4 linked regions of the Mytilus edulis genome follow. The protein of the gene in region 4 purifies or fractionates together with the protein of the main gene of each other region. This does not show direct contact. Links are inferred from orthologs where the notes say so. Each region holds a gene or a part of one and is shown on either strand. Other genes may lie near its edges.

What was found.
Region 1: the proteins of paired amphipathic helix protein Sin3a-like (region 4) and metastasis-associated protein MTA3-like purify together in Homo sapiens (affinity purification with mass spectrometry; 3 studies listed by BioGRID, with this or other methods). This does not show direct contact. The link is inferred for Mytilus edulis from reciprocal best matches to the Homo sapiens genes SIN3A and MTA1.
Region 2: the proteins of paired amphipathic helix protein Sin3a-like (region 4) and SIN3-HDAC complex-associated factor-like purify together in Homo sapiens (affinity purification with mass spectrometry; 4 studies listed by BioGRID and IntAct, counting the BioPlex papers as one, with this or other methods). This does not show direct contact. The link is inferred for Mytilus edulis from reciprocal best matches to the Homo sapiens genes SIN3A and SINHCAF.
Region 3: the proteins of paired amphipathic helix protein Sin3a-like (region 4) and breast cancer metastasis-suppressor 1-like protein-A purify together in Homo sapiens (affinity purification with mass spectrometry; 3 studies listed by BioGRID, with this or other methods). This does not show direct contact. The link is inferred for Mytilus edulis from reciprocal best matches to the Homo sapiens genes SIN3A and BRMS1L.

The regions. Positions count from the first base shown.
Region 1 is NC_092346.1:39,274,244-39,281,757, reverse strand, and holds the start of metastasis-associated protein MTA3-like, read right to left. Parts: upstream 3,022-7,514; 5' UTR 2,617-3,021; coding exon 2,589-2,616; intron 2,115-2,588; coding exon 2,047-2,114; intron 1,862-2,046; coding exon 1,768-1,861; intron 1-1,767. UniProt on the Homo sapiens protein: Transcriptional coregulator which can act as both a transcriptional corepressor and coactivator. Acts as a component of the histone deacetylase NuRD complex which participates in the remodeling of chromatin.
Region 2 is NC_092353.1:70,783,555-70,790,967, forward strand, and holds the start of SIN3-HDAC complex-associated factor-like, read right to left. Parts: upstream 3,019-7,413; 5' UTR 2,900-3,018; intron 2,544-2,899; exon of another isoform or gene 2,455-2,543; intron 1,896-2,454; 5' UTR 1,863-1,895; coding exon 1,635-1,862; intron 1-1,634. Other genes in the region: serine/threonine-protein phosphatase 6 regulatory subunit 3-like, read left to right, coding at 6,221-6,280, 7,320-7,399. UniProt on the Homo sapiens protein: Subunit of the Sin3 deacetylase complex (Sin3/HDAC), this subunit is important for the repression of genes encoding components of the TGF-beta signaling pathway.
Region 3 is NC_092346.1:84,390,183-84,397,781, reverse strand, and holds the start of breast cancer metastasis-suppressor 1-like protein-A, read left to right. Parts: upstream 1-4,594; 5' UTR 4,595-4,698; coding exon 4,699-4,825; intron 4,826-6,305; coding exon 6,306-6,396; intron 6,397-7,599. Other genes in the region: uncharacterized protein, read right to left, coding at 515-567. UniProt on the Homo sapiens protein: Involved in the histone deacetylase (HDAC1)-dependent transcriptional repression activity. When overexpressed in lung cancer cell line that lacks p53/TP53 expression, inhibits cell growth.
Region 4 is NC_092354.1:81,250,417-81,257,527, forward strand, and holds the start of paired amphipathic helix protein Sin3a-like, read right to left. Parts: upstream 3,027-7,111; 5' UTR 2,656-3,026; intron 269-2,655; 5' UTR 232-268; coding exon 208-231; intron 1-207. UniProt on the Homo sapiens protein: Acts as a transcriptional repressor. Corepressor for REST. Interacts with MXI1 to repress MYC responsive genes and antagonize MYC oncogenic activities. Also interacts with MXD1-MAX heterodimers to repress transcription by tethering SIN3A to DNA.

The sequences.
Region 1 (7,514 bases), on a different chromosome or scaffold from region 4:
ATAATAACTGATTACGTTTTCTAATTTACACACTGTAAGCTGGTTTATGATTGTCTTTCTTACTTTTTTGGTACAGCTTCATTCAAGCAGATACCAGTTTATTTTATAAGCAATGCAATGAAAAGAAATTAGAAATTTGTTATGAAGCATTTAATTTCTAAATTTATATTATTATTCAATATTAATTTGATATTGAATAATAACTTATTAATATGGATTAGATAAAATTATTAGTTCGAAAAATTATAAAGAGTGCGAAATTTGAATTTTTCTCTTATTTCTTGCTTATTGTACTCTTTAGTCCGCACCCCAGCTGGTAGGTTCAATTTTGGAGAATAAACCGCAGACTATACAAGCCTTTTATCGGTAAACCACATCTTCTTTTTTATATTGATCTATAACTTGTTAAGATAAAATAATATCTCAAATATCAAATCAATATCTTCAAAATTGATTTGCTGGACTGATGGAAAGGGACAGAAAAACCAACATGTACAAATGTACAATGTATGTCTAATTTTTTTCAACATTCATTCAATAAATTTTAAAATAAAAAAATGTTGTGTTGTTAGACAAGGAAAAGTTTCAATCCACGGATTTATGCCATGAGACAGGAAACAAGATTTTATATATTTAAGGCCAAGCAAAGTTTTAAATAACAGGACAAATTTAAATTAAAAATAATTGTACTGATACATAATTTAGAGGCTTTCTGAAATTCCACACAAAAACATTGTTATTAAAACCCTGCATCACTTTTGCCATTTTTAGATTTATACGCACTTTTGGTGTTACTTTGTATTTCATTTCTTGATCTTGAAATAAGCTTCTTTTCAAGTTTCATAAAAAATCATCAAAATGATAGTCTTTTTAATCTTATCATTTTAAAATGAAAATTCATGAAAAAAAATCAAGACCAGACTGTCTTTAAATGTCAACTGCAAAATATAAAGTCTAAGACATTCTATGACCATCTTTCAGTAAAATATTGAAAAGTCAAAAAAACAAATTTTTTATCAACAACGAAATTTGAAATTCAAGGTATGAAAAGTTTTGCTATGTATTTTTTACTGTGCTTGTAAAGTTATCTAGGTAAGAAATGGCTTGGCGAAGCAAAAATTAAACCTTGTATGAAACTAACAATTCTTAAAATACAACACATCTTGCTGTTATTAGATATTTAATAATAGGATACAATTACTAACTTTCCCAAATTTTGTTTGTCCTTGTTAGTTGTTTAAAATGTATCGTTATTCTATTTATACAATTAAAGCAATTTAAACAAATCAAGAACAATTACATTTGTGTAGGTCTAATGTCCTACAATGTATGGGTCAGTTTTAAAGCTGACAACAAATACATGTAGTCAACAACACAAGATAAAACTAATTCAAAATAAAATATATTTTCCTCTAATCAATGTAAGAGAAGACTCGCATATATATTTTTATTTGCGAGTAATATGGACCAAAAGTTGATATTATGCCCTGGGAATGGGTGTTGTTTACATTTTGAAAAGGTACAGCCCCATCTCATCAATGAACTAAAGTTAACCAATCACAACTCTCTCATTGCCGGACTATTTTCGTTTGTAGTACAAAATCCACGTGCTAATGTTGTTTTCCTGATGTAAATACTCCCAATTTACACATATGAAACTCTTGAAGTTCTGAAAATATAATGTTATGATGCTGTGTTTCCACAGCAAGCACTGTCAACACACAGAACTTATGTGCAGTCAATTTTCAAAAGTAGAATCAGACTTACTTTGGTGTTTATCGGCAAGCAGGGTAAGTGAACTGGAGATGTCCCTTCTTCGGTAGAAACACATAACTTTTGCTTCGACGTTGCCATTTGGAGTCTGAAAAAATGAAAATAGACATCTGATATCGAAGCCATTTCGATCACCTGAACACGTGACCACCCAGTGTGATAAATTAACACCCCATAGGTACCTCTTTGCCCTTTACCGGCCTCAATTTACATTCTTTTTTATTAAACAGCTAATTTTACGACATAAAAAAGAAAATAAATAAAATGCTGTACCTTGTTTAGTTCCTCTATACGTCGAATTTGGTATGGAGTTGTTGAACTTGTCTCAAAATAGACGTAATCTGTAATAAGAAAATAAAAATTCTTTGTTTAAAATTAATTTGTAGTATAATCCTTCCGCCAAAACATAGTCCATTTTAAAAAGCTTCCTTGAACTTAAGTACCAGTTGAATTCAAATTTAAAGTATTTTTCTAATATAAATAATTGTAATACAAACTGAATATACGAATCTTTCCATTGATTTGTTAGATAAACATTCGTAAATCCATGTTTTAGAAAAGGAGAAAAACTTCTTCCTTCTGTCATTCCGACCGCTTTACTTCCCCCTTGAGATCCCCAAACTGAACTTCCTTTCCACATTACACTTCAAAACATTCACAAAAATGATTGAATATCCATTTTCACTAGTAAACAAACAAATTTCCTAAAAAATGCGGTTTATTTCTCTTTAAATGCATGATTATGGTGACACAATATTCCAACGCGTTGGAAGAGTGGGGACCGTCCATGCTGTTTCCCAATAATTCTTCCGTACCTCCTACTCTGTACATGTTTGCAGCCATGACTGGTAATTATTGTGTTGTTCTCTCAGTTGTGTTCCAAAAGTCCAACAAGCCGACAAAAATACATCAATAAAATATGGGTAGTGTCCGGTCAGTATCACCCCCAGACGACATTTCATGGAGTCGCCATTTCTCGGCTTTTCTGTCTTCCTCCTCTTTTCACACGTGACGTCATTCGTCCTTCGGCGGCTTTGGTTTTCACTCCGAACTATTTTGATGTCTTTCATAGAGATTACATACATATATCTTGTAGGGTATCAAAGTTCATAATTTTTTTCGATGAAAATAATTGGAATATTTGAAATTTACTTTAATTATTGTTATTATCTAAATCCTATTAATTAATTGTTTATCTAAACTTAACTTTTTTTAAATCCTGTATTTTGAATACAATGAAAATCAATCATTAGGCCAAATAAAAAATGATTTGTTATAGCTTGTTTAGTCACGCACAATGATTTACATATGTTTTGTACCACGTAAGCAGGCCAAGTATACGACTGAATCGTATTCATAATTAAAAGGATAGTATAATCATAAACTTCAGTCAGCGTTCAGATCTTACTGTATATTATCCACATTCTTAATACGTCATTAAAATGTCTGTTTGTTTGTTATTTGGTATAAGAGAAAAAAGGGGGATAGACTTTTCACTATTTGCAATTTTATATAATGTGTATTAGGAATGCGGGAACTACAATAATTGTCTTTTTATCATGTGCAATACCTGATTTCTAATTAGATATATCTGAAAGACTATACAGAAAAATAGATAAATTATATAGATAGTTGACAGTCGTACAACGATGTGGTGGGCAGTAGTTACTATTATTTCAGGCTTAATTTGGTAAGATTAAAAAAAAAGATACATGCACATTTGGATATTTGCTAGCATAGTGAAAAAGTAGCCATGACGCTAGTAGTGGGACTTTTTGTTTATATAATGCACCTTTTGATACTCTACATCAGAGACATGTCTCTGTCTACATATATATAAATTGCCATGTCATTTTGAACCGTGCCGATGATTGAAAAAAAACTAGCTTAGAATTTTTAGTCATTGCAAACATTCAATGATTATACATTGTTTTGTATAGATTTTATATATATATATAAAGATGTGGTATGATTGCCAATGAGACAACAGTTTCTGTCCACAACAGACCAAAATGACACAGAAATTAACAACTATAGGTCACCGTACGGCCTTCAACAATGAGCAAAGCCATACTAGAACGCATAGTCAGCTATAAAAGGCCCCGAAATGACAATGTAATACAATTCAAACGAGAAAACTAACGGCCTTGTTTATATATAAAAAAAAAAAAAAATGAACGAAAAACAAATATGTAACACATTAACAAACGACAACCACTGAATTATAGGCTCCTGACTTGGGACAGGCACATACATAAATAGTTTTGGTCGTTTTTTTAAGTTTTTTAAAATAAGTCTTTTTTTTAATCATAATGTTTGGGGTTGTTTTTTTTTCGTTTTTAATGTTTATGTTTGTTTTTGCTTTTGTTTTGTTTTTTATTGTTGTTGTTGTTGGGGTTTTTTTGTAGGGGGTGTATTTTTATCGCAAATGATTGCTTCACTTCTATTGGGAATTCGATACAAATGGCACTGAATATTCAAAACTTACCTATACTATAGAATAGAACAGAATATAGAATAAAAAAAAATGATTTCCCAAATTACAGGGCCGATAATGGGCATTAAATCAGATGCAATTAATTGACATAAAAGGATTACCGAGATTGCCATACATACGAAACGTATATATGAATACGAGTATGACATGCCATGAATCAACCACTTGGACGTCAATGGTGATCTTTTTCAAAGTCTAAAGTAAAACTAGTTACTTGCATGTGTACAAGGCCGTAACTACCCTTGAGGCAAGTGAGGCAATTGCCTCACTAAAATTTCGACACTGATTATTTTTTTTTATACATATATACAAATAAAATAGTCTTTTGTTGTTCTGTCTCAACCTTAATTTCTATAACTTGTCATCATTCCTTTAAACTATTCTTCCTGGATATAACTCAGCATCTCAACGGGTGATGTTTCTCAATTACATTAACCTAGTAACGATAATCATCATGGATCTCTGGTTAAAAACAGGCTCTTGCAGAAAAAGGAAAAGCGACACTGAAGGTAAAGAAGGAATAATTCTAGTAAACTAATTTGTTTGTGAACGTAGTCTGCGTATTGCATATAACTTCATTAGAACAATCCAAAAACGATAAGTAGACTGACAAATCAAGTAGTGGGCATCGCAAGGGGGCAGTCCTGTCTGTGTATTCATTTCTCAGTTTCATCAACTTTAATCTTTCTCTTTACAGATAAATAAAATATAAATAATATGAAACATGCATGGATTAGTTTTTCATGATCCATGTTTCTTTATCCTTAAAAATTGAAAGAACATCCCATATTCCAATTTGACATTATTGAGGAATGGTATAGAACCTTTATCACAGGATTTTGTCTTTACTTATTCGGGACTACGGAATTTCATTTCTTTATATTCGGGGTTTCGGAATCAGACACCCCCAACCCATAACCCCTTAATTTATAGATTCTGGAACTAAAATACCACCGACTATTTCCAGAAATAATTTGAAATTACGGACCTACATGTAAACGTCAAACTCCATTTTAATTCCCCTGTACCCATATCATATATACTTAATACTCTATAGATAGATCATATACATGTATCTTATCTCATTCTATCCCTAGTTTGTTTACTCTTTGTCAGCATACAAGCGAGTTTAATATTTTGTAACTGAGACTGTATGATGATGCTAGCCTTTATAGGAAAGCTTAATTCCCTTTTGCAAACAAAACTGTTACTACCGATGCTGCTACCGAATTGCTGATGGAGAAGGAATTGGAAGAAGACATTGATCATTGTGTTGATGATAATGTGCTACCTTTAGAAACACAGACTGACCTGAAACGACTGAAATCTAGGAAAAGAGCATACATGAGTGGCGAGAGGTTGTGCGGTCTTGCCATGCTCCATGTTCATCGCGATAAGGATATCAGCAGACCAAAGTTATGATTCTAAAACAATTTAATTGACTGAACCCACCATAGAAATAATTGACAAACTCTACTGAATCGATGTTTGTTCTATGTTCTGGCGGCAGATTTAAATTGATATTTGGATGATTATCTTACATACAAATTCAAATAAAGTTGTTAAAAATTTGGTATTAGTAAAAGTCTTTAAATATGAACAATTTATATAAAAACTGTCCAAATTCAAAATATTATCAAACTCTCTAAAAATGCCTAGAACGCAGGATTTTGCACCATTCATTTCATACCCTCCAAAAAAATTTAACGCCTCGCTTCGCTCGGCTCAATTATTTTGCCTCACTAAAATAAGATGCCTAGTTACGGCCTTGGTGTACCTTATTACTAATTCATAAATTTTTTTCGAACATTTATTTTTGCGATTTTGTCATTTAAGACTAAAATGTGACATTCTTCGGAATATTAAAAATCCTGTTTAATTCATATAAAAAAAATCAAAATGCGAGTTAAAATAACAACATAATCTTGTTGATATAAATAAACAGTCTTTACAATAATACAATAGATAAGAAATCTTTCTTCGACTATACCAACATAAAAAAAGGATTGACCGTCCATCCCAATATGGAAGCCCATTGTGAATTAAAAAAAATGAATAGATGTCAGGTATACGTGAATTCTCAAGACAGCAACTATACGATGTCGACTTTGCTCATTGTTAAAGGCAGTACGGTGACCTATAGATATATAGTCGTTAATTTCTGTGTCATTTAGTCTCTTGTGGAGTATTGTCTCGTAGAAAACCATACCGTCCACATCATCTTATTTTTATATTTAACAATATATATGCAGGTGTGTATACAGTTCATCAAAATCTTAATCGCACAGAAACTATAAAAGTTGTCAAAAATTAAACAGCTGTGCCATCAACACCCAATTTTCAATATAACGTAAAACTTAAACCAAGATACAATTGCTGACGAGGTTCCTGACATGATGATGGGTCATGCAGATGTTTATATTGCCAGTTCCTGGATCACTTAATTATTACAGCAAATGGTAGTTTCCAGAGGCGGATTTTGGGAGGGGGCAGAGAGTCTGATCCCCTTTTGTGGGAAACATTTTGTTGATTTATATATAGGGAATCACTGAAGCATGTCTGGAGTGGATCCCCTCTAAGGCAGTCCACGATCAGGCACAATTTTTTTTAATAAGCAGCTAATTCAAAATTGTCCTAGTTCAAGGATTTTAATTCGTAAAAAAATGTAGGGTGGGACTAAGTGAGTGGCTATACATCTTGGCAATCATGTTTTAGTACAGATAAATTAGGGGAACTAAGCTTAATTTTTACGGAATGAGTCACTTTTTCACACTGGTTAAAGAAAGTCGGTGACAATTGCCTCCTCCTTTATATACTACATACATTGTATAGCAACACGGTAAGTAGTCCAATTTATCTCCCCTAAAAATTAGTTGAAATTTTGGTAAAGCAGTACGTTTTTGTTCGAAAACTCTTTGAACCAGAAAATGTATTACAATACGATAATATCTTTTTGCATTCCTTGTTTATAGAAATATATTAAAGAAAGAATGACAGTATTTAGACGTTCAAGTTTGCTTATTGTAGTGAAAATTTGGACCGATCATGTAATGTATGCAGGTGTGTATAAAGTTCATCAAAATCTTAATCGCACATGTTATTAATCTTCTTCTTCTTTTGTTACAGAAAACCATCAAACGGTACTGATGATTACTTTCCGGCGCATGCCTGGTAAATGTTTTTAATAAATTTATGTTGATAATTTTTGTCAAAATATAAATTAACAAAGTATTTCTTATTCAAA
Region 2 (7,413 bases), on a different chromosome or scaffold from region 4:
AGACAATTATAATATTAAAACAACATATAAATGAAAATAGTAATTCAAATTATCAAAATATTGTATACATGCTTCAGATGAGTTTTCATACTATATATGTGACAAAAGCCATGACAGTTTGAGAAAATGAGTCTGTCTGAATCTAGTTGAGTTCTTTATTGATTTTAAACAGGTTTTTTTTTCAAAAACACTAAAAAAACATAATGTTGTCTAAAAATGAGCTAACTATTACATGAACAAAAAAAATATATAGACCTTGGATTACACACAGTTTCTCATAGAAAGATATTTGATAATATAGTCAACCTCCTATTCTTTAAATTTTCAGAGTGCAGTAGACGGTTTAAAGCAGTCAATGACCTAGTTTAATACTTTAAAACTCAGATTAAAATGCACATATTTTATAAGGACACTACACTTAAACAGGCAGGTGCTTGTTTAGCCTTCATACAAAGTTCAATATTATGGTGGGAAAGCAAGTGTTTATTTCTCTAATAAACCTGATAGGGGAACAGAGAAATATTGTCATTTAACTTTAATGGTTCCTCAATTGTAAGTTTTTTTTTTGTAAGCCCCAAGAAAGAAATATTACAAGTAAAACTAATTTCAATTTAACTTGTGTAATTATTTATATATGACCTTTCTATAGGAATGCTTAATAATGTAATATTACATAAGAACTTGGACCAATGCTGGCAATAAATAATTATGTATGTATTAGTTCCAAATAAGTCTAGGTATCAATTAAACAAACATTGTATATATTTTTTATTTATATTAGAAATTAAATCCGTCTAGCTCAAATTTTAGTTACAGCCTCATTACATATAAGGAAGTAACACAGACTTGACCTATTAACATAATCAGATTTCATTTTATGACATTGATTACACAGAGTTGATTAACAGGATGAGCCTGTCTAACTTCTATAGCTAACATTCACTGCATGTCAACATGTTTTTTGAGGAATCTTTATACCCTCTAGAGGGTAATAAATAACACAAATATTGTCAGTAGTTATAAAGGAAAATGTCCCCATCTTACAAATATCTGATATATGTCATCAGAAAATTGATGATAATTGGTTTCAGATATTATCTAACACTATGAAAACAATTATATCTGATCCCCCTTTTGAAAAATTACACACATTTCACAACTTAATAATATGGTATTTTTTTTCAAATTAATTATTCAATCACTGCCCCAGGTAACTTTATTTCAAATATATCTTGTACCTTGGTTTTTTTAACATTTTTTTCTTTACTTTATAAATTTTATAAAATATCTATTTTTGGATAACCCATCTTTTCTGGTACACCACAAGATCAATCATTGAGATACTGAAGGTCAATACATATGTATTAAGACCTGTCTTGAGAGTACATACTATGTCAGGTAACATGACCTACTTCTGACACACACATTGATCAGTCCCTGTGTGTAATCTATGGAATTTAAACTATGACAAATATTTACACAGCGCAAAAATTAGCTATCCAATATTAAAATAATCACTATTCTGATATAAACTATTTTTTTGAAAAATCAATAGCTTGCAGATACTGCCCTAATTTTAATCTCTCTAAAATCAATTTGTTTTATCTAATTAAAAGTCAAAAATATAAACTTACATGATGCCAATGTCTGTTAGTTCCAGAGGGGAGCTTTTTCCACCTTTTCACCAAAAGTACACATGCATTACATATTTCACCAGCACGTCTTTCTTTAATTCTAAAGCAATTTTCAAAGTCACATTCATATCGCTTGCTGTCAGTAAAGCGAGAACTTGATGATTTTGCTCGGCATATACAACAGCCGTTATTGCTCCTATAAATCTTGGGTTTATGAAAACTGAACATCTTTCCTTGTATATGTATTCGTTATTTTTAAATCTGAAAAAAACATAACTTTCATTAATAAATATAAAAATAAGGATGTTATGATTGCCACAGTAATCAGACAAACTGTACTATTCAGCCTGACAGTTCACATAACTTGATAAGTGTAATATATCTTTAAAATCACCAAATGTATCCCAAACATATAAAATACAGCCCTCTGTAATTCAAAAATAAACTTACGTTTTAATTTATCTCAACTATTCTTATAAATGTATGTATATGTTACAAATTATATTATTTACTGATTGTGATTAAAAAAAAAAAATCTTTAACAAGGATTTGTATAGTAATTTCTTGATAATGTTATACAAATCCTTGTCCTATACTGATGAACATAAATTAAAAAGTCCTTTTATTATATAATAGTTCACTCCACTTAACCCCTTTGTACTTAAATTTACTATTAGTGTTTTATCAATATAAATGTCATTCTCACAAATCAATAAATTCCTTCAATTCCTATTTTATAACATATTTTCTTTTGCCTAATCAATGGTTATTCTGATTATGGTGAACGTCCGCTTTCTACATATATGATAAATCGACATACCACCAATCAATAGGCCGCTCTGGGTAATTGTGTCAATGACCGTTTGGACAAGGTTACGCTTCACAGCGTTTTCCTATTTTGGAACAAAGGAATTTATGATTGGCGCAGGCCCAGATCGCCCAGATCAAGTTCATCGTGTACATACATGTGCACAGTTTTTCACCAAAAATCTTTAATTTCAAAACAGGAAATAAAAATTAAATCTTAAAATTAATCCTTAATATAAAACAAATCATAAACTTTCAAATTTGACAACTGTCACAGTTAGTTTTTTCTTAAAAAATGTAAAAATTGAGAAACCGCTCCTTACACACCGGTAACAAGTGATATGCCATTGGTCATGTAATAACGTTTTTTGAAAAATAGAGAATGTAACAGCTCACAATTTTCAACGAAAATTATAAATAAATGTCTATTAAACAAAGTTTAACTCAAAAATTCTTACCGGAATAATTTTTTTCAGAGCTGAAAGACTTTTTCTGTCCGTTTGTAAACTACAGATTTTTCAGATGATCGCCTGAAGTGGAACATCAATGAACGCGCATGCGTATTCAAATTTATTATGACAACAGCGCAGGTGCTTGATAATAAAAAAACTAAATCATTTAAAGTATAATTTTGCTATTTAATTATTAATAAAATTTCATTTTGTGGTAATAGAATAAAAAATAAAAATCATACAAATTTCTCGTGAGAACGCAGAAAATTGATTATGGGATATTCAGCGTCGCCATTTTGAGAAGTACTCGTTCCCGCCTGACATGATAAATATCATATATTTATTGGTTATTCAATGATCTGACTATTAATTATTGCAAAACCCAACCCATAGAATCATATTTAACTAATTGCATTTGATGTCATGAATCCCTCAACATGAAAAATTGGAAATGAACCAAGAAACCCGTGGAGTACATTTGATATTGAAGAAGTTTCTCCGTGTTTACATTTGATAAAATAAACCACAGTCTTCTCCAAAGGTTAATAAACAAATTTATGCTTTATCGTTATATAGCTAACACTCTTACTTCATGCTAAGTCCACGTAAATATTGCTAATTTCACTGTCGAGCGTGTTTGCGTACAGTACTTTCAATTCCCATAGGTTTTAGCAGTGTCATGAGTCTGTGACCACTGTGGGTATACAATGCCTTCAATTATGTCCTGTCGTGATAATAAGACACAAATACTGAAATCTGTGCAAAATAGCATGTTTTATTTCAAGCTGTCTGCAGAATCTAGTCAAAATATTTTGAGGGCAAAACATGGTTTTGAATGTTTGGAATGTGAAAACATGGCTATAGCCTATACACCTTATCGCTAATCCCGGCTGACCCGGCTGCTTGAACTTTTGACGCATTCAACAATCACTTTTCCATTGTGGCGTCAGATATTTTGTTTTGTGATGTCAAATTTTTACGGGAACCTGTGTAATATCCAGTAATGGCGGACAAATAGCGATAAGGTGTATACACCTTATTGCTAATCCCAGGTCAGCTGCTTGAACTTTTGACGTCAACAACAATCTCTTTTCCATTGTGGCGTCACTTATTTTGTTTTTATGACGGTCAAAATTTTTACGGGAACCTGTGTGATATCCAGTTATGGCGGACAAATAGCAGTAATGTAATGATGTACCTAGGGCTTACGCTAGCAGGCAACTGGGGGGACAATATAGCTTTTGTGTTCATCACTTTGTTGTGCCCTACCATCGAAAACGAAATCGCCCTGTTGGTCACCATACTCACTTTCTTTGACAATTTTTATTTTTACCAAGTAGATGAAACATAAATTTTTCATTTTTAATACAGAAATTCAAATTTATTAATAACCGCTTACAGAAATCAAACTTGAACAATGTTATAGGCAATGTGCCATACCTGTCAACTCACCCGTTTTTTGCGGGTGACACCCGTTATTTTCACCTCTCACCCGGGAGTTTTTCTTTACCCGGCGGGTCCCGGGAATTTCTAACATTACCCGTTTCACCCGGATTTCTGACCGGAATTGTTTCCGGTATTTAGAAGTAATACGACCTTCGGTTTTATCGGTCTTTTTCAATGTAACCAAAAGTCAAAATGTAGGACTGTTTACCTGAGCTACGTACCGTGTAAATTAATGTTCTCTGACAGTGAAATAGCTTCAGGTTATTCCTGTTGAAAAACTAAAACCACCCAAATAGTAAAGAGGGCCCTTTCAGTTGAAAATAACAAAGTGGTAGTTGAAAACAAGCCAAGATTTTTTGTTTTGTCAAAACTTGCTAAAACATTACTGGTTTTGCCAAACAGCAATGCAGACAGTGAGAGGGCATTTTCTTTAGTAAAGAAAATAGCTACAGAGTTTAGGGCTGATCTTAATAAGGATACACTGTGTGCTCTTCTTTCTTGTAAAATGAATACATATTTGCATTGCTATGAACTGAAACCAAGTGCAGTTCTTTTAAAGAATGCCAAGTCTGCTACTATGGAATATAACAATAGTCTGAAATAAACTTGTATACATGTTCTAACTGTTTCATATACATATTGACTATATAATTATATATAAACATATTTTTGTTCTTCAATTGAGCCCGCAAAATGTCGTACGCGTTATGACCTGAGATTTTTTTTCTCAATGCAGGTCATGACCTGACTTTTCATTTCCAGAGGTTGACAGGTATGATGTGCTGATGGGTCATTGTGCAATGTAGATGATATAGATCGCCTGTGATGTTGTATGTCAGTGGTAAAGACAGTATTTGAACAACCTAGATGTACTTACAAGTCCCTTAAACTGTATGACGTTTCAGTTCTAATTGCCAAAATGAAATCATTTTTATTATAATACATTTCACTTTTCAGCTGGTCCAATTGATAGACTGGTTCATATAGACAAAAAGAGTCATTGTGTTTTGATATATCAATGTTTGGTAGTTTTTCAAATCATTTGGCCTTTGTTTTCTGATTAAAGTTTTAGTACTCAGAAATTATTATTTTTAAACCATTTAAAGTGATTTTCATGGCGGAGTGGTGTGAAACATGCACCTTGGTGCTATTTAGTCTTCATGATGAACTTGAATCTACAGGCCAGAATCCTATAAATTAAAAAAAAATATGGCACTTTCTATAAGCTAAAGCATATAACGATTATTTTTAAAAAAAATATAAAAACTGGCTGCCACAAAATAGCCTAAATACGGTGCTTATAAGTGGAGTTAAAACACCAAAAAATCAAATCAAATTTATATCAATCCAGAAAAATTTCATAAGTAGCCATCTGTCCACAATTCGTTCTCCATCTGATGATAAACACATTTGTGGGTATGTTACTGACATATAAAAATAAGGAGATATGACTACTGAAGTTATAAAGTTCCTTTATTTTTTATTTTTATGCCCCACCTACTATAGTAGAGGGGCATTATGTTTTCTGGTCTGTGACCGTCTGTTTGTCTGTGCATCCTTCTGTTCGTCTGTTCGTTCGTCTGTCCTGTTTCAGGTTAAAGTTTTGGTCAAGGTAGTTTTTGTTGAAGCTGAAGTCCAATCAACTTGAAACTTAGTACACTTGTTGCTTATGATATGGCCTTATTTAAAAGCCAAATTAGACTTTTGACCTCAATTTCACGGTCCACTGAACATGGAAATTGATAGTGTGAGTTGGGCATCCATGTACTTTGGACACATTCTTGTTAATTTTGAACTTTGAATTATAGCTTGTAGTTGTATCAGCCATAACTATATAACATATCAGAATCTTAACTGAATCTTTCTTTTCCAGATAACAAGATGTTTTGGAAGTTTAATCTTATCACAACTTCAAAGATTGATACCTTGCTTGGAAAGGAGGTAAGTCTCAATCAATATTGTAAATTTTTAGAAAACATTATGGTGCAGTTCTGTGTATCCGCGCACATAAAGTCTTATGACTTCACTTTATTTAATGATAAAACTAATAATAAGATAATATAATATTATGTGAACAAATTCATCACTAACTTATTTCATAAAATTTTCTGCATGTATGGTTTCACCCTTAAGCTCTTGTGTAATGTGTGTCCAAAATTAGGGAAACCACTGTTTTTAGAGTTCTTCTGGTGATTTTTCGCTTGCATTAATAGTCTTATGAAAATGGGTTATTTGAATTAAGGAAAGATTTTAAAGTACGAAATGTAGTTGAATTTGAACCAAACAGAATGCCAAGAATGCAGAGCAAAATTTAGATCTATTTGATTTAATTTTGACTTTAATGAAACCAACTTTATCTGAAAATATAATTTGGCAATGGAAATTGGCTAAATGTGATTAATCATTGGATGGTAATTTAAAATTTACTCTTGAAATGATCAATTTTAATCTTTTCTGTCCATTCGGAATACTAAAGCAATTAATTTATAGAAAGATTTTATTTGCATATCACCGGCCACGTAGACACTGGGGACTCCACTGTACATCATTGATTCTTTATTTTTATACCCCAACCTACGATAGTAGAGGGGCATTTAATATGTTTTCTGGTCTGTGGGTCTGTTAGTCAATTTGTTTGTTTGTCCCTCCGTATGTCCTGCTTCAGGTTAAAGTTTTTGGTCATGGTAGTTTTTGATGAAGTTGAAGTCCAATCAACTTAAAACTTAGTGAACATGTTCCCTATGATATGATCTTTCTAATTTAAATGCCAAATTAGATTTTTTGCCCCAATTTCACGGTTCACTAAACAGAGAAAATGATAGTGAGAGTGGGGCATCTGTGTACTATGGACACATTCTTGTTTGTACTCTACCAATATGCAACTTTTATTTACATACCCCTTTGTATACACTAGTGTAGGTGTGTTTTGACTGTTTGATTTCGATATTTGAAGTCAGGAGAATGATGGTTTATTTTACAGGATGTCACCCTTCAAGAATTAATGGATGAAAATGATATACTACAGGAATGCAAGGCACAGAATAAAAAGCTTATTGATTTGTAAGTGTTGTAAC
Region 3 (7,599 bases), on a different chromosome or scaffold from region 4:
ATTATTATTTTTTAAATGCACTTGAATCCTCATTTATCACAACTTTCTAACCGGAACAACTAAACGAAAACGAAAAGACCAAAATTAAACATCTCCAATATTGGCAATAATCAAATATGTCAATACCAGTAAACACTTCTAAAAAATAAATCTGCTTTATTGTATCTTCGTGTTGAAGATAATTAAGAGCGAATATTTTGCACTCCAAAAGGAAAACTTTTGAAACTATATCGCACACATGATTTTTACAATCTAAAAGACAGGGTATGAAGTCGTGAAAGATTGACGTATTTAATGATGAAAATCGAATTCAATTTTAAAAGAATGTCATGGAGTGGTATGTGTCCGATATTGTGATAAAGCCAAGTTAATATTTTATCACCTAAAAGCGAGTTAAAGTAAATTATAAACACAAATGATTTATTTGAAAAATCGAAATTGTTTGACACAAAGACCGATATGAGTTCAATGATAACGGGATATCAATAAAACGTAAAAACTGTAGGATACTTACCCCTGAACAAGACTGTAAAGTGTGAATACAAGAAAAACCAAATTTGTTTCCATGTTGCTCCTATCTTATATGATAAAATAAAAGTCACTTGGACAAGAAATAGAAATTTGATTGCAACGTGGCTTCCGCGTTTTGTATACGTTTAAATTGTCATATCATTTGTTTACTCGTGTTGAAGGTATAAATGGTGTTTCTTAAATTCCAATCAATCAATAGAGTTGAATGCAACAGCTGGTGAAGTATCTTTGATTATTTTTATGAATCGTAGGTGCGCAGTTAATCAATATGAAACGTACGTGTATCTGATTAAATTTTGGTTTGGGTCTTAATTGACAGTATAGATACAAGAAATACATAGATATAACTATGTAGACTTTAAAATCTATGACGATGTTTAGTTTCTCTTTTAAAAAAAATACAGATGCAATTCACCCATGCTTGATCGTTACGGAATATCTGTGTTCCTATTGTAAAAGATTATATAGTTGTTAGATCTCATATGTAGTATAACGTATAATTAATATTATAAAGTTATAAATTATTTATTTATGAAAATCTTCAATATTTTTGATTGTACTCAGTGTATTTTTATTAATGCTTGATATTGTGATAAAATGATTTTAAATTGTTATTAAGCTTTTGTATTCTCTACTAATCACATCAATGAACAGTTTTATTCAGTGCGGCTAAATAGCAAATTTGCTATTTGGCCGGTGCCGGTCAAATAGCCACTGCCTTCTTTATATGTATTCTACAAAAGAGGGGCGAAATATACCAGATGGTCATTCAATCTTGTATATCGAAAATAACTAAAAAAGACAAAGACTAACAGACAAATAATATAGTATCAGATACGGATTTAGAGGGGGTCCCCTTTTCTGGGAAAAATTTGGTTACTTATATAGGGAATCACTGAAGCATGACCGGAGCGGGGCCCCTCTTATAGGCAGTCAGTGGGCCCCCACTTATGAAAATTTCTGGATCCACCACTGAGTATACATGACACAACATATATAAAACTAAAGAATAACTGAGCAGCATGAACCCCACCAAAAACTGGCCGCGTGATCTCAGGTGCTCCGGATTAAGTCGTAAGTAGACCCTGCTCCAAAAGTGGCACCTGTCGTGTCGAATTCAAGCCTCGACTATACGTTAGATTGAAGATTTAGTAATTCATTATCATTTCAGTGGCGGATCCAGAACTTTTCCTAAGGGGGGGGGGGGGGGGGGCGCTGACTGACCTAAAGGGGGGGGCACTCCAGTCAAGCTTCAATGATTCCCTATATAATCAACCAAGTTTTTCCCCGAAAAAAGGGGCCTGCCCCCCCCCCCCTTCCACCCCCCTGGATCCGCCTATGCATTTATATAGTTCAGAACCTCTTTCAAATTTTGTCTGACTAAAAAATAGATCCCACATTGTCTGACTTATCAGTATAAACAGTTCGACTAGACTTTTATATAGACAAGTCTATGAAGACAACTCTGACCGTCAATAAGTTAACTCGGATCATCTATAAACCAACTCTGAGAGTCTGCAAGCCAAAGATAACTTGATATGTTTTTCAAATTTAGCAACACCATGTTAAATATAACACAGTCTGATTAAAACCACAATGAATATAAAATTAAAAACTTAATAATCATATATATATAAAGTGCCTAGAAAATATATATATATATGATTATAAAGTTTTTAATTTTATATTATATAACAACTCGTCTAAACATCAACCCAACAATGTTAGATCTGTAAATTTGCTTTCGCAAATTTTTGGTTCTTCCCTCGCCGGGATTCGAACCCATGCTACTGTGATATCGTGACACCAAATCGCCTGCACGGCAGCCGTCCCGCTAGACCTATATATATGTGTATGATGTGTTAATCAGTACTTGCGTGATGGGTCCGATGTATACATCTGTTGTAGAGTTGTCACTGACTCAGACGTACTTATAAATATAATTATTTTCTGTGACTGTATATTACATTAATTTGTAGGATCCTTTACTATAGATAATTTAGCTGATCTGTAACAATAACATCTTCATGCCTTATATATTATGTACTGTAGTACGCCGCTAGATTAAAACTGACGAAGAAAGGTAACACACGGCCAACGAAAGCTCTTCTTTTGAGAGCCCAGGTGGTCGTGTGGTCTAGCGGGACGGCTGCAGTGCAGGCGATTTGGTGTCACGATATCACAGTAGCATGGGTTCGAATCCCGGCGAGGGAAGAACCAAAAATTTGCGAAAGCAAATATACAGATCTAACATTGTTGGGTGGATGTTTAGACGAGTTGTATATATATATATATATATATATTTATATATTGAGTTCAAATGATCTTTAAAATACTTTGTCCGCTTAGTTTTGATTAGGAGGCGTCCTGATTTCGAAATCCCAATGTCCCAAATTTCAGTAGTAAAGAAACTTAAATCCCGACATCCCGAAATTCGAAAAAATAATACCGGATCCCGAAATTCGAAAAAATAATACCGGATCCCGAAAGGATCAATCCCGAAATCCTGAGTTTAAAAACACCCAATCCTGACGTCCCGATATATAGGTTCTGCATTATAGAGGTTTTTATTGGATCTCAACTAGTCAAACTAGTATTGACGGTCCAAGTTGTCCCTCATCGCTAAAGCAGCTACATAAACGCCTGTCTCTTTTTTGCATCGTTTTAACACTGTCGTAATTTAAAAAAAAGAAAGACTGGATGCTTAAGTTAACAAGATCAGGGTTGATGGGTATGCACAAGTGTGGGTATGTCACTGCTTTTATTTTTGTCGAGCCTGCAACTTTTGTTGCAGAAAGCTCGACATAGGGATAGTGATCCGGCGGCGGCGGTGTTAGCTCACTTCTTAAAAGCTATATATTTTAGAAGGTGGAAGACCTGGATGCTTCATATTTTGTATATAGATGCCTCATGTTACGAAGTTTCTGTCAGTCACATGTCCATTGTCCTTGACCTCATTTTCATGGTTCAGTGACCACTTGAAAAAAAAAGTTCAGATTTTTTGTAATGTTAAATTCTCTCTTACTGTAAGTAATAGGATAACTATATTTAGTATGTGCGTACCTTGGAAGGTTGTCATGCCCGTCAGACAGTTTTAACTTGACCTCGACCTCATTTCATGGATCAGTGAACAAGGTTAAGTTTTGGTGGTCAAGTCCATATCTCAGATACTATAAGCAATAGGTCTAGTATATTCGGTGTATGGAAGGACTGTAAGGTGTACATGTCCAACTGGCAGGTGTCATCTGACCTTGACCTCATTTTCATGGTTCAGTGGTTATAGTTAAGTTTTTGTGTTTTGGTCTGTTTTTCTCATACTTTATGCAATAGGTTTACTATATTTGTTGTATGGAATGATTGTACAGTGTACATGTCTAGTGGGCAGATGTCATCTGACCTTGACCTCATTTTCATGGTTCCGTGGTTATAGTTAAGTTTTTGTGTTTAGGTCTGTTTTTCTCATACTTTATGCAATAGGTTTACTATATGTGTTGTATGGAATGATTGTATGGTGTACATGTCTAGCGGGCAGATGTCATCTGACCTTGACCTCATTTTCATGGTTCAGTGGTCAAAGTTAAGTTTTTGAGTTTTGGTCTTTTTATCTAATACTATATGCCATAGGTCAACTATATTTGGTGTATGGAAATATTTTATGATCTATATGTCAGTCGTGCAGGTTTTATTTGACCTTGACCTGGTTTTCACGGTTCATTGCTCAGTGTTAAGTTTTTGTGCTTTGGTCTATTTTCTTAAACTATAAGCAATAGGTCAACTATATTTGTTGTATGGAAGCATTGTTAGATGTACATGTCTGCCTGGCATATATATGGTTCAACTGACCTTGACCTCATTTTCATGGTTCATGTTAAGTTTATGTGACGGTCGTAATAAAGCTTTATATTTAGGAGTATCAACATAATATCAATGATTAGTAAAGAAGGCGAGACATTTCAGACATTTCAGTGTGTGCACTCTTGTTGAATTAAGGCGCGTTATGAACTTGTATAGTTAAAACCAAAGAACATCCGAAAATAGGGATATTCCAAAACGCATGCGTAATTGAATTGTTTTCTCTTGAAAATACAACTTCCGTTTACCGCATTTTACATTATTTTAAAGTAAAGTAAAGTATCTCTTATTCTGTAATATCTAATATTTAACAGAATGCCGACAATTGAAAGTGAGAAGAATGAAACAGAAGAAGAGGAGATGGATCACGAACCAGCTGAAAGCGATAAAAGCTCAGACGAAGACTCAGAATCTGGCTCTGTTGACGACGACGAAATATCTGGTAAATAATTATTTCAAATTCCGAGAGAAAAGTGAGGTAGTCTTTCTTAAATTTTGAATGCTACTTATAAAAAACATTGTTTTTTTATTAGTATATGATCATTTGAAGCATTGTCACGTCCCTTTTCTTCCATAAAAAAGTGTCTAGAAATCGACTTTTTTCTTTCATTTGACATTTGTAATTTAAAGGGCTAATATATTATGAAGGGCTTGTATGCCATATTGTCACTGAAGGTATGTAGAATTATAGTCATGTCTTATCACACCCATTTCGTACCTAAGTCTTTGACCATATGGACGACTGAATATGTATGCCAACACTTTCTATGCGCCACATTCAATGTTGTGGTTATTATCATAATATTCATGCCATGTGCTCATGTAGAACACTTTTAGGCATGACACACCACCCAGTCCATATATCTACATCTTTGAAATGCAAAGGGTCTAGGACCCATCACGCAAGTACTGATTAACACATCATACACATGTATGCAATGTCGTTTCACATAATAATACATGTACCAGTACCTCAAACTTGTTATCAAAATTATTGAGAGAGGTCTCAGGTTAAGGTCACTACATACAGAAAAAATTGCAGCTAATTAGTGTCAGGGAAGTCAATAATTCAATATTGATCAGAACATTTATGAACATTTTGATAATATAAAAATGTTTCTTTGACAAATGTTTGAAAATGTTCACTTTCACTTCTTTTTAGACTCAAGAGAAATTTATAGATAATCATTTGATAATAGACCAAGGAGCTAAAAGGAATATCTGTTTAGAGGGTGGTAAAGGGAGGCCCTCAACACGGAAACACGTGAAATAAAAATGGCAAAAGCGTTGCATGGAGAAAAAAAAATCGGAAAAAACGAAGCACGAGAAATAAAATAGTAAATATTAATGTAAAAAGTAAAAAATAATTTATTGATCAGCCGTTCTTGGAGATCATCTAGCCATTATATATGATGGACATGATGACCCTGCAGTCACATTTTAGCGTCCGCTAGTCGCAACTGATTTAAAAGAAAAATATTATTCATTATAATTAATTTTATAGCAGTTTTAAAAATTCTGTATGGGAACACATAATTTAAAACAATCTCCTGACTGACCGGGGCTTTGAATTTAATCCCGGCCTGACTTTAAATCAAATGCAGGACAAGCACGAGAAATTAAGAGTACCGACACAAAACACGGAAAATAAATAAAGGAGAACACGAGGCACGCACGTCGAGCCAAACACAAGAAAACGAAAAATAAAACTTCAAAACACAAAAACACATGAATTAAAAAGGCCCCCTTAGTTGCTTCCCTGGGCAACTGAGGGTTGATGTAACAGGTGATTGTTAATAAAATATGTTTAATATAAAAAAAAAAAAAAAAAAAAAAAAAAAAGGCGGAAAACGTTGCACGAAAATAACCCTTTACCACCCTCTGTTTAATTTTTTCCTACATTTCTTTCATTTGTTTTGCAGACCTAGATGAAGAAGAATATGACCACAGAAGAACTCATTGTTTAGATGAAATGGCAGATCTGGAAAGGCAGTTTTCTGATATAAAAGAGCAGTATGTTAGATATTGTTACTATAAAAGTAAATTGATGGGGGACACCACTTTCAGCATGGTTGCTATTTCAAGGTCATCCGTATGTACAGGTGGAGGAAGTCAGAGAGAACTGCTGACCTTCTGTAGGAAAACTGAAAAATTTATTCAATTAAGATTGTAATCTTAAGGCACTTGCTACATGCAGTTCCTACTCATAGTCTCAGGTTCAGTGTTGACAGGCTAGTGATACAGTAGTTGAAATACTTACTCTAGTTGCTCAGAGGACCCCTGTGACCTTAGAACTTGTGGGTGTGTGCAAAATTGCACTCCTTTTGTAAATGATGAACTTTGTTAAATTAATAATTATTTTAAATTGAGTAAGAATTTTTGGCTGGTATTATTACTAACTCCTACTGTATGTCATAAATTCAAAAATGACTTCTGTGGGGTTTGTACTGAAATATAGTGTTTCCAGACAATATCTTTTGTAAAAGTAAATATAAATCTATGAAATTTAAACACAAGGTTTATAACCACAAAAGGAAAGTTGGGATTGATTTTGGGGGTTTCGCTTGGAACAGTTTAAGAATTAGGGGCCAAAAAAAGGGCCCAAATAAGCATAAACTATTATACCTCCTTAGAGAGGACAATTATTTTTTGCGTTTATATACTACTTTAATATATAGAGACTCTCTGCATTCTGTCTCAATGTTTTCTTTGAAATGTTTACTATTTAAGGGGTTATACCAGTTGCATATATATTAAAATAAGTAAAACATGTGGAAACAAGAATGTGTCCATAGTACACGGATGCCACATCGGCACTATATTTATTAAGTTTCGAGTTGATTGGACTTCCACTTCATCAAAAACTACCTCGACCAAAACCGGACATAAAAATTTATTGTTGAAAGTAAAAGTAGTGATTTGGCAAAAATGAAAATAGGGTAGAGATTAGAGGGAGGCAAGACCTTTTTCGTGACATCGGGATCAGGTGTTTTTTTACAGGATCGGGGGTTATATTTTTCGATTTCGGTATTTCGGGATATGAATTTCTTTAAATACTGCATCTTCGGAATTTCATGTTTTTAAGCCGGGAGTTCCGGATCAGGACCCCTCCGACCACCCCTCAAATTAGCCTTAGTCGGTCTTAGTCATTTATACAAGATTCATATCCTACCATTGGCATGTTAATAAGGCTCCAAAAAGAAAAATCACTAATGG
Region 4 (7,111 bases):
ATCTGTTTATCCCTATTTCAATTTTTACTTATGACGAAGCTGTTTATTTCATTGAGAACGACATGTGCGCGCTTAGTTTCTACTGATAATTTTTCATATTGCACTTCTCTGCTGAGAAAGGAAATTATCAGTCAGTAAGGTCAAATGAAAATTTGGTAAAAAGTGATAATTATAAATATTATATATACATTGAATCTGATCACTAACCTGTTCGTCAACTCTTCGCTGCATTATTTGTACACCTGTATAGTTAGGATAGGATGTATACCTGTCAAACAAAACCATTTCATTAGTATATAATGTTCATTATTAAATTGACAAGCACATATGTTTTTGTACCAATAATATAAGTTATGCCAAAAAAAAATAATAAGGTAGATATAATAGATTAGCAATTGCAATTTCTTTTCAATTTCATTAACAAAATCAGGGAAATCACATATTTTTCCAAAGCAATCCCAATTACACTAAAATCAGTTAACTTGTGCATGGAACTTAATTTATTTCCAAAGGAAAATTCATTTGGTTTATATGAGAACAAAATTTTTTTACACTAAATTATCCAGTTGAAATTGATTTTTTTCTACTAAATTAATGTGGGTTAAATCAGAAAACTAGAATTCAGTGACTCTTAGATCACATTGCTTGTAGAAACTCTTTGTTCCTTACGTCGTAACTACAATCCCCTTCCCTTTCATGAATGTGACCTACCGAATTAGACTATTTACCGGATTTGTTATCACATAAGCAACATGACGGGTGCCACATGTGTAGGATCTACTTACCCTTCCGAAGCACCTGAGATCACCCCTAGTTTTTAATGGGGTTTGTGTTGTTTATTCTTTAGTTTTCTATGTTGTGTCATGTGTATATTGTTTGTCTGTTTTGTCTTTTTCGTTTTTAGCCATGGCGTTGTCAGTTTATTTTAGATTTATGAGTTTCACTGTCCCTTTGGTATCTTTCGTCCCTCTTTTACAAATAAATTTAAAATTTAAGGTCCTAAATTAGATCCCAATTGCAATGTCACCTATATTTTATGTTTCATATAACTTTTGTTTGTAGCATTATATTAAAATCTTAAAAGATTTTTTATCACATGGACCAAAAAATATATATCAAAGTTTAAAGGTTATTAAGGTGAATAACTCTGGAACGGAAATGTCAATACCATGAAAATTGAACTCGACATGTAGTTTATGATTGATGACACTATGTTATAATTGCCTTAAGATTTGGTCACACAGTAATATTATTATCATCTGAAATCCAAGGAAATACATTTATCAACATTTACAGTAAGGGACATAACTCTTGAATGGAACATGTTTAAAATATTCAATACTAATATAACTTGACCTGTATTTTATAGTATAAATTATTTCAATTTAAATATGAATATCATAGATGTAAATGAACGATAGGTGTCTCCCGGATTCATTTACTTTTGATGTTTACTTTATAAGCTGTAAAAAACATGTTTTGATTATGATCAAGATTGACAAATTCTGTAAAACAAACTGATGCCAGAAAATAAAATGGACAGAAAGTCGTAAAATTGAGAAAGACAAAAAGGTGAAATTAATTTAGTTTACAATTGTTTGAATCATATAATAGAAAGTTCTTAAAAAAACTTTTTATCAAACAAATTCGTTTTACAGTTTATGAAATTGTTCAAAAGCTTTGATAAATGAAAAACAGTCAATTTCAAATCTTGCAATCAATATTATTTCTCAATCTTTGCATAAGAAGATATTCAAGAGTTAATAAAAGTACAAGTGTTGGTCTATTGGTGGATATTTGCCTCATTAGCAATCTCACCAGATCTATTTATTTTTCTATAAATATAGCTGTTTTACTCATAATTGCAACGTGAACATCAAACACTATTTACAGTCTCTTTTGCTTGTTTATGAGAGTTGTCTCATTGACATTCCTACCACATCTTCTTAATTTTACAAGATACATGTATTTTTGGTTGCGTCTTCTTAACATTACTGCTGTTTTTATTTTATCAGGGTCTAGATGATACTCTTTTTTGCCATTTGTCCGCAATTAGTGCACATCACAAAATCCCGTTAAATTATACGTCATAATAGACAATATATGACGCCACAACGGAAAAGCGGGACAGATTTTTAAACAGCAAGGAGTATTCGTAAGACTTCTAACACAACAAAGCAAGAAGAAACAAAGGGACCAAATTATCAACATCAAAGTTGTGAGCACATGCTTACAGAAAAAGATGAAGAACCCCTCACAAAACCTTATGTGGAAACCTTAAGATAATATCAATATGATAAAGTATTGTGTTGTTAAACAGTAAATACTAGCTCAATTTGTTATTGACCGTCAATAAATTTTCAAACCACAGAAAGGGGGAGGGGGCCGAGACAATTTTTTTTGTAAAAAAAAAAATAAAAGTTTTTGTTTGTTTTAATTTTACAAATGTTATGTTATGTGCTTTGTTATATAGTGATTACGTTGAAGAATAAATACAGAACAAGCAACGCCTTTCCCGCGGATATTTTTAGCACACACTGTTTCATCATGGCCGACATTGGTTTTCAAACATCAGTTTATGTTTCCACCCAAATTTCAAAATCCTATATTTGTTTTGGTTGACCAGTAGTGTTTTCTAATGCAATGAAAGCTTACCTTTCCTAACGTATATAACACATAAATTGGAATTTCCTAAATCATTAACAAATTAACATTTTCCACAGCTGTGTATCACCGACGTACTTGTCGGCCGTATAAACAACTGCCTGCCTTCCCCTGTGTGTAATTTCAGTAGACTCGTCCTAACACATATGTAAAGGTGCGTGTCTCGGTAGTATTTTTATCGATACATGCCCTTGACATCTTAAAAAAAGTTAATGTATACAAAATTAGGGATTGTAATATAAGGTTCATTTACAATTGTAAACCATCTGTTACTATTTTATATTAAAGTGGTAAAACGACCGAAAGACGCGCGCCTGTTTAAATGATCGTGTTCCGAATGAAAACACACAAAACACCTGTGTGAGTCATGACCTAGATACATTTATTCTTCGCGGAGAGAAATCGTTTTGAAAATTTATTTTTTAACCATTTGTTAAAAATTTATATATTCTACTTTGAATAAAAAGAGCATTAGACGAATATTCATTGTAAATCCTCAAACATCAGTACGGGTAATACAAGAATATTTCAAAAAGGGTTCTGTGTTCATACATAGACGAGTCCATTTTTAACAACATACACAAGAAACGTGTACTAGAGTACTATCATCAGACACCTCTTTCGGTTTAGTTTACAACTTCATACAAAATTGACGTGAATTATTGTTAAAAAATACAGATTACCTAGACTCCCCTTAAAAAATCAGGATGCAAAACATTATTTTCCTTCGTCTTGTATTTTATGATTGGCAAACTGCCCGAAATTTGGAATTCCAAACATAAAATTATGCAAAAATAGAAGCCAATCAAAGTGATGTGTTAAAATTAGATATTCAAGGTTACTGGGTTTCCCCGTGAATTGATTTAAATTTATTTGACTATGCATGATAATTGATTTAGGAAAGGGATTAGGCGTAACGGGAACGACCACGGTTTATATATATTTATAAACAAAATATATCTGTTATTTTTTCCCAAAAAAGAAATGTTCTGAATCAAAGCTGAAATGATAACAGGCAAAATAAAGATGGGAACCAAACAGTACATAATTACTAGCTTTTACAGACCACCAAATAAAACAGACAGTAAATATGTGGAGAAAACAATCACAGAGATACAAAATCTGAGAAACAACAACAAAAGGAGCACATTCCTCCTTGGAGGTGAATTCAACCTACCTGATATCAGCTGGGAAAGAAATGAGATTAAAGGTAACCAACTGCCACAATCAATCAATCGAGCATTTTTACAGATGTCAGCTGACTTGTCAATCCAGCAAATAAACAACAACAACACAAGAGGAAACAACATACTGGACCTGATGTTTACAAGCCATCCAGGACACATAGAGAGATGTAAAACACTGCCACCTATAGGAAATAGCGACCACGACATATAGTATTAGTGGACATATCAGCAAATGTCAACAAACTGAAACCATCAAAGAGAAAAATATACCTATGGAAGAAAGCAGACTTGGAGAGTATAGGGAAACACCTTGACAGCCAATTTGATACTTTCAAAAAGACAAACTTTGATGACATTAACAACATGTGGACATCAATTAAACAAATTATAAAGGATTCCATGGAAAAACACGTACCAACAAAAACATCACTTGCTAGACAGAGCCATCCCTGGATGAATACCAACTAAGACGTCTAAGCAAACAGAAGCAAAGAGCTTACTCTAAAGCTAACCACACCAACTCAACAAAGGACTGGAAGCGGTATAAAAACATTAAAGCTGAACTTCAAAGAGAGTCTAGACGAGCGCATACAAAATTCATGCAAAACATAGTCAGTGATGATTTATACAAGAACCCTAAAAGATTTTGGTCATACAAAAAGAGTAGGAAACAGGAATCGTCAGGAATAACAACCCTAAAAAATAAAGATGGATACCTACATAGCGACACACCAACAAAAGCTGCTATACTAAACACTCAATTCCACTCAGTATACACCCAAGAAGACCTAAACAACATGCCAGATAAAGGGCCGAGTCCATATCCAACCATGAGACTAATAAACATCAGCCAGAATGGTGTCACTAAGCTACTTAGAGGACTAAGACCGTTCAAGGCAACTGGCCCGGATGACATACCAGCCTTCATCCTAAAGAATATGGCTGATCAACTTTCACCTTACCTGACCAGACTGTACCAACTGTCAATGGACCAGGGATCAGTACCAGAAGATTGGAGGACAGCCAACATAGTCCCAGTCTTTAAGAAAGGGGAAAAGCATACAGCTGCAAACTACCGTCCAGTTTCTTTGACATCCATCTCATGTAAGCTACTGGAACACATAGTACACAGCTCTATAATGGACCACTTTGACCAAAACAACATACTCTGCGATGAACAACATGGGTTTAGAACCAAACGGTCATGCGAGTCTCAGCTGGTAATAACTATACATGAAATAGCTAAAAACATAGAGGACGGCGACCAGACAGACATCATCCTGTTAGACTTCGCCAAGGCCTTTGATAAGGTACCACACGCCAGACTTCTTCGTAAAATGGATTATTACGGGGTAAGAGGTCCCCAGCTGGAATGGATTAAACAGTTTCTGTCTAACAGAACTCAGTCTGTGATCCTTGAAAACCATAAGTCGGACCCTCTTGACGTGGTATCTGAAGTACCCCAGGGCACTGTGATGGGCCCCTTACTCTTTCTGGCCTACATCAATGACCTCCCTGAAGCAACAACATCAAGCGCTAGACTGTTTGCTGATGACTGTCTACTCTTCCGCCGCATTAGGAATACAGCAGATGCAGACTTGCTGCAAAAAGACCTAACCTCGCTGGAAAAATGGGAAAAGGAGTGGCAAATGTGTTTCCACCCGGAGATATGCACAGTCATCCGTGTCTCAGGACGACGTCATCAACACCAGACGTCCTACACACTCCATGGACACACATTAGAGACAATAGACAGCGGGAAATACCTGGGGCTCACTATCAACAAAGACCTCACCTGGACAAACCATATCAACCAGACCATAGGGAAAGCCTCAAAGACACTTGGCTTCTTACGGAGAAATCTTGGTAGGTGTACTCCAGCAACAAAAGCCACAGCCTACTCTACGCTCGTAAGACCAACCCTGGAATATGCCTCCCCAGTATGGGATCCTCACCAAATCACCACCATACGCGACATAGAGCAGGTACAAAGACGAGCAGCTCGCTTTGTTTATAGTTGCTACCAGGACAACTCTCCTGGATGTGTAACTAAGCTACTGGACCAACTTCAATGGGAATCACTGCAACACAGACGATGGAAACAGAGTCTTGTGTTGTGTTACAAGACTCAACATCAGATGATTGCCATTGATCCAGCCAAATACTACACGACAGGAGACAGTAGGACCAGGGGCAACCACAAACTTAGACAAACTAGAGTGAAGAGGGACGTATACTACCACTCATTCTTCCCACCAACAACTAGAGAATGGAATAAACTCCCCGAATCTGTAGTGGAGTCCGGATCCCTAGAGGACTTCAGGGCCAGAGTGAATACCATCCCCTGGACCCAGCCACATCTGAAATAGACAGCAGGATAACCAGTGTACAAAGATGTAATTAATATCATATTTTTATTGTAAATACTGTCCAGATTATTTCCTGGACTTTTACTTTTGGCCAGAGGAGTGGCCTCCTGTCTGTTTGAGATGCGCCCGAGTCAATTACACTTTACTACAGAGTTCGACTCGTAACGGGAAGAAGAAGAAGAAGAAACCTTTTCAAAGCAATAACCAAGGATTCGTATTACCAGAGGCGGATTTAGGGGGGGGGGGGCAGGGGCCCGGCCCCCTTTTTGGGATACATTTTGGTTGCTTATAAAGGGAATCAATGAAGCGTGACTGGAGCGGGCCCCCTCTTAGGCCAGTCATTGGGCCCCCACTTATAACATGTATAAAAATTTCTGGATCCGCCACTGATCACAGGCACTTGTCTCATTAATTCCCCCTCCTAAATATACCTTTCAAAATATATTAAGGTATATACTCAGGAAGTGAAAAGTAAGATAGATTGACTAAAGATTTATGCTTTGTAAATAGTGTCTTGGTCATATTTTTGCGATTAAAAGTTTCTATCCATCTAATATATTAGTTTCCAAGATAATCTCCGAAAATGCTACAAAAAATAATAAAATGGAAAATTGTCATTAAAGGACAAGTCGACTGACGATCTTGGACTTAAATTTGTAAATATTGTCTTGCTGATCATATATGTTTGTATTTAAAGTTTATATCTATCTTATTCTACCATGTAAAATAGTTTCCAAGGATTTGTATATAGTGACACATTTTTGACATGCTGTTTCAGTCAGTGGAGAATAGTTTTGGTCGTGCAGTTTGTTAAAATTAAATTGACCCGATAGTTTCAGACAGCATTGCAGTAGTAAATAAATGTTGCTCATCTGGTAGATAGAAGATAAG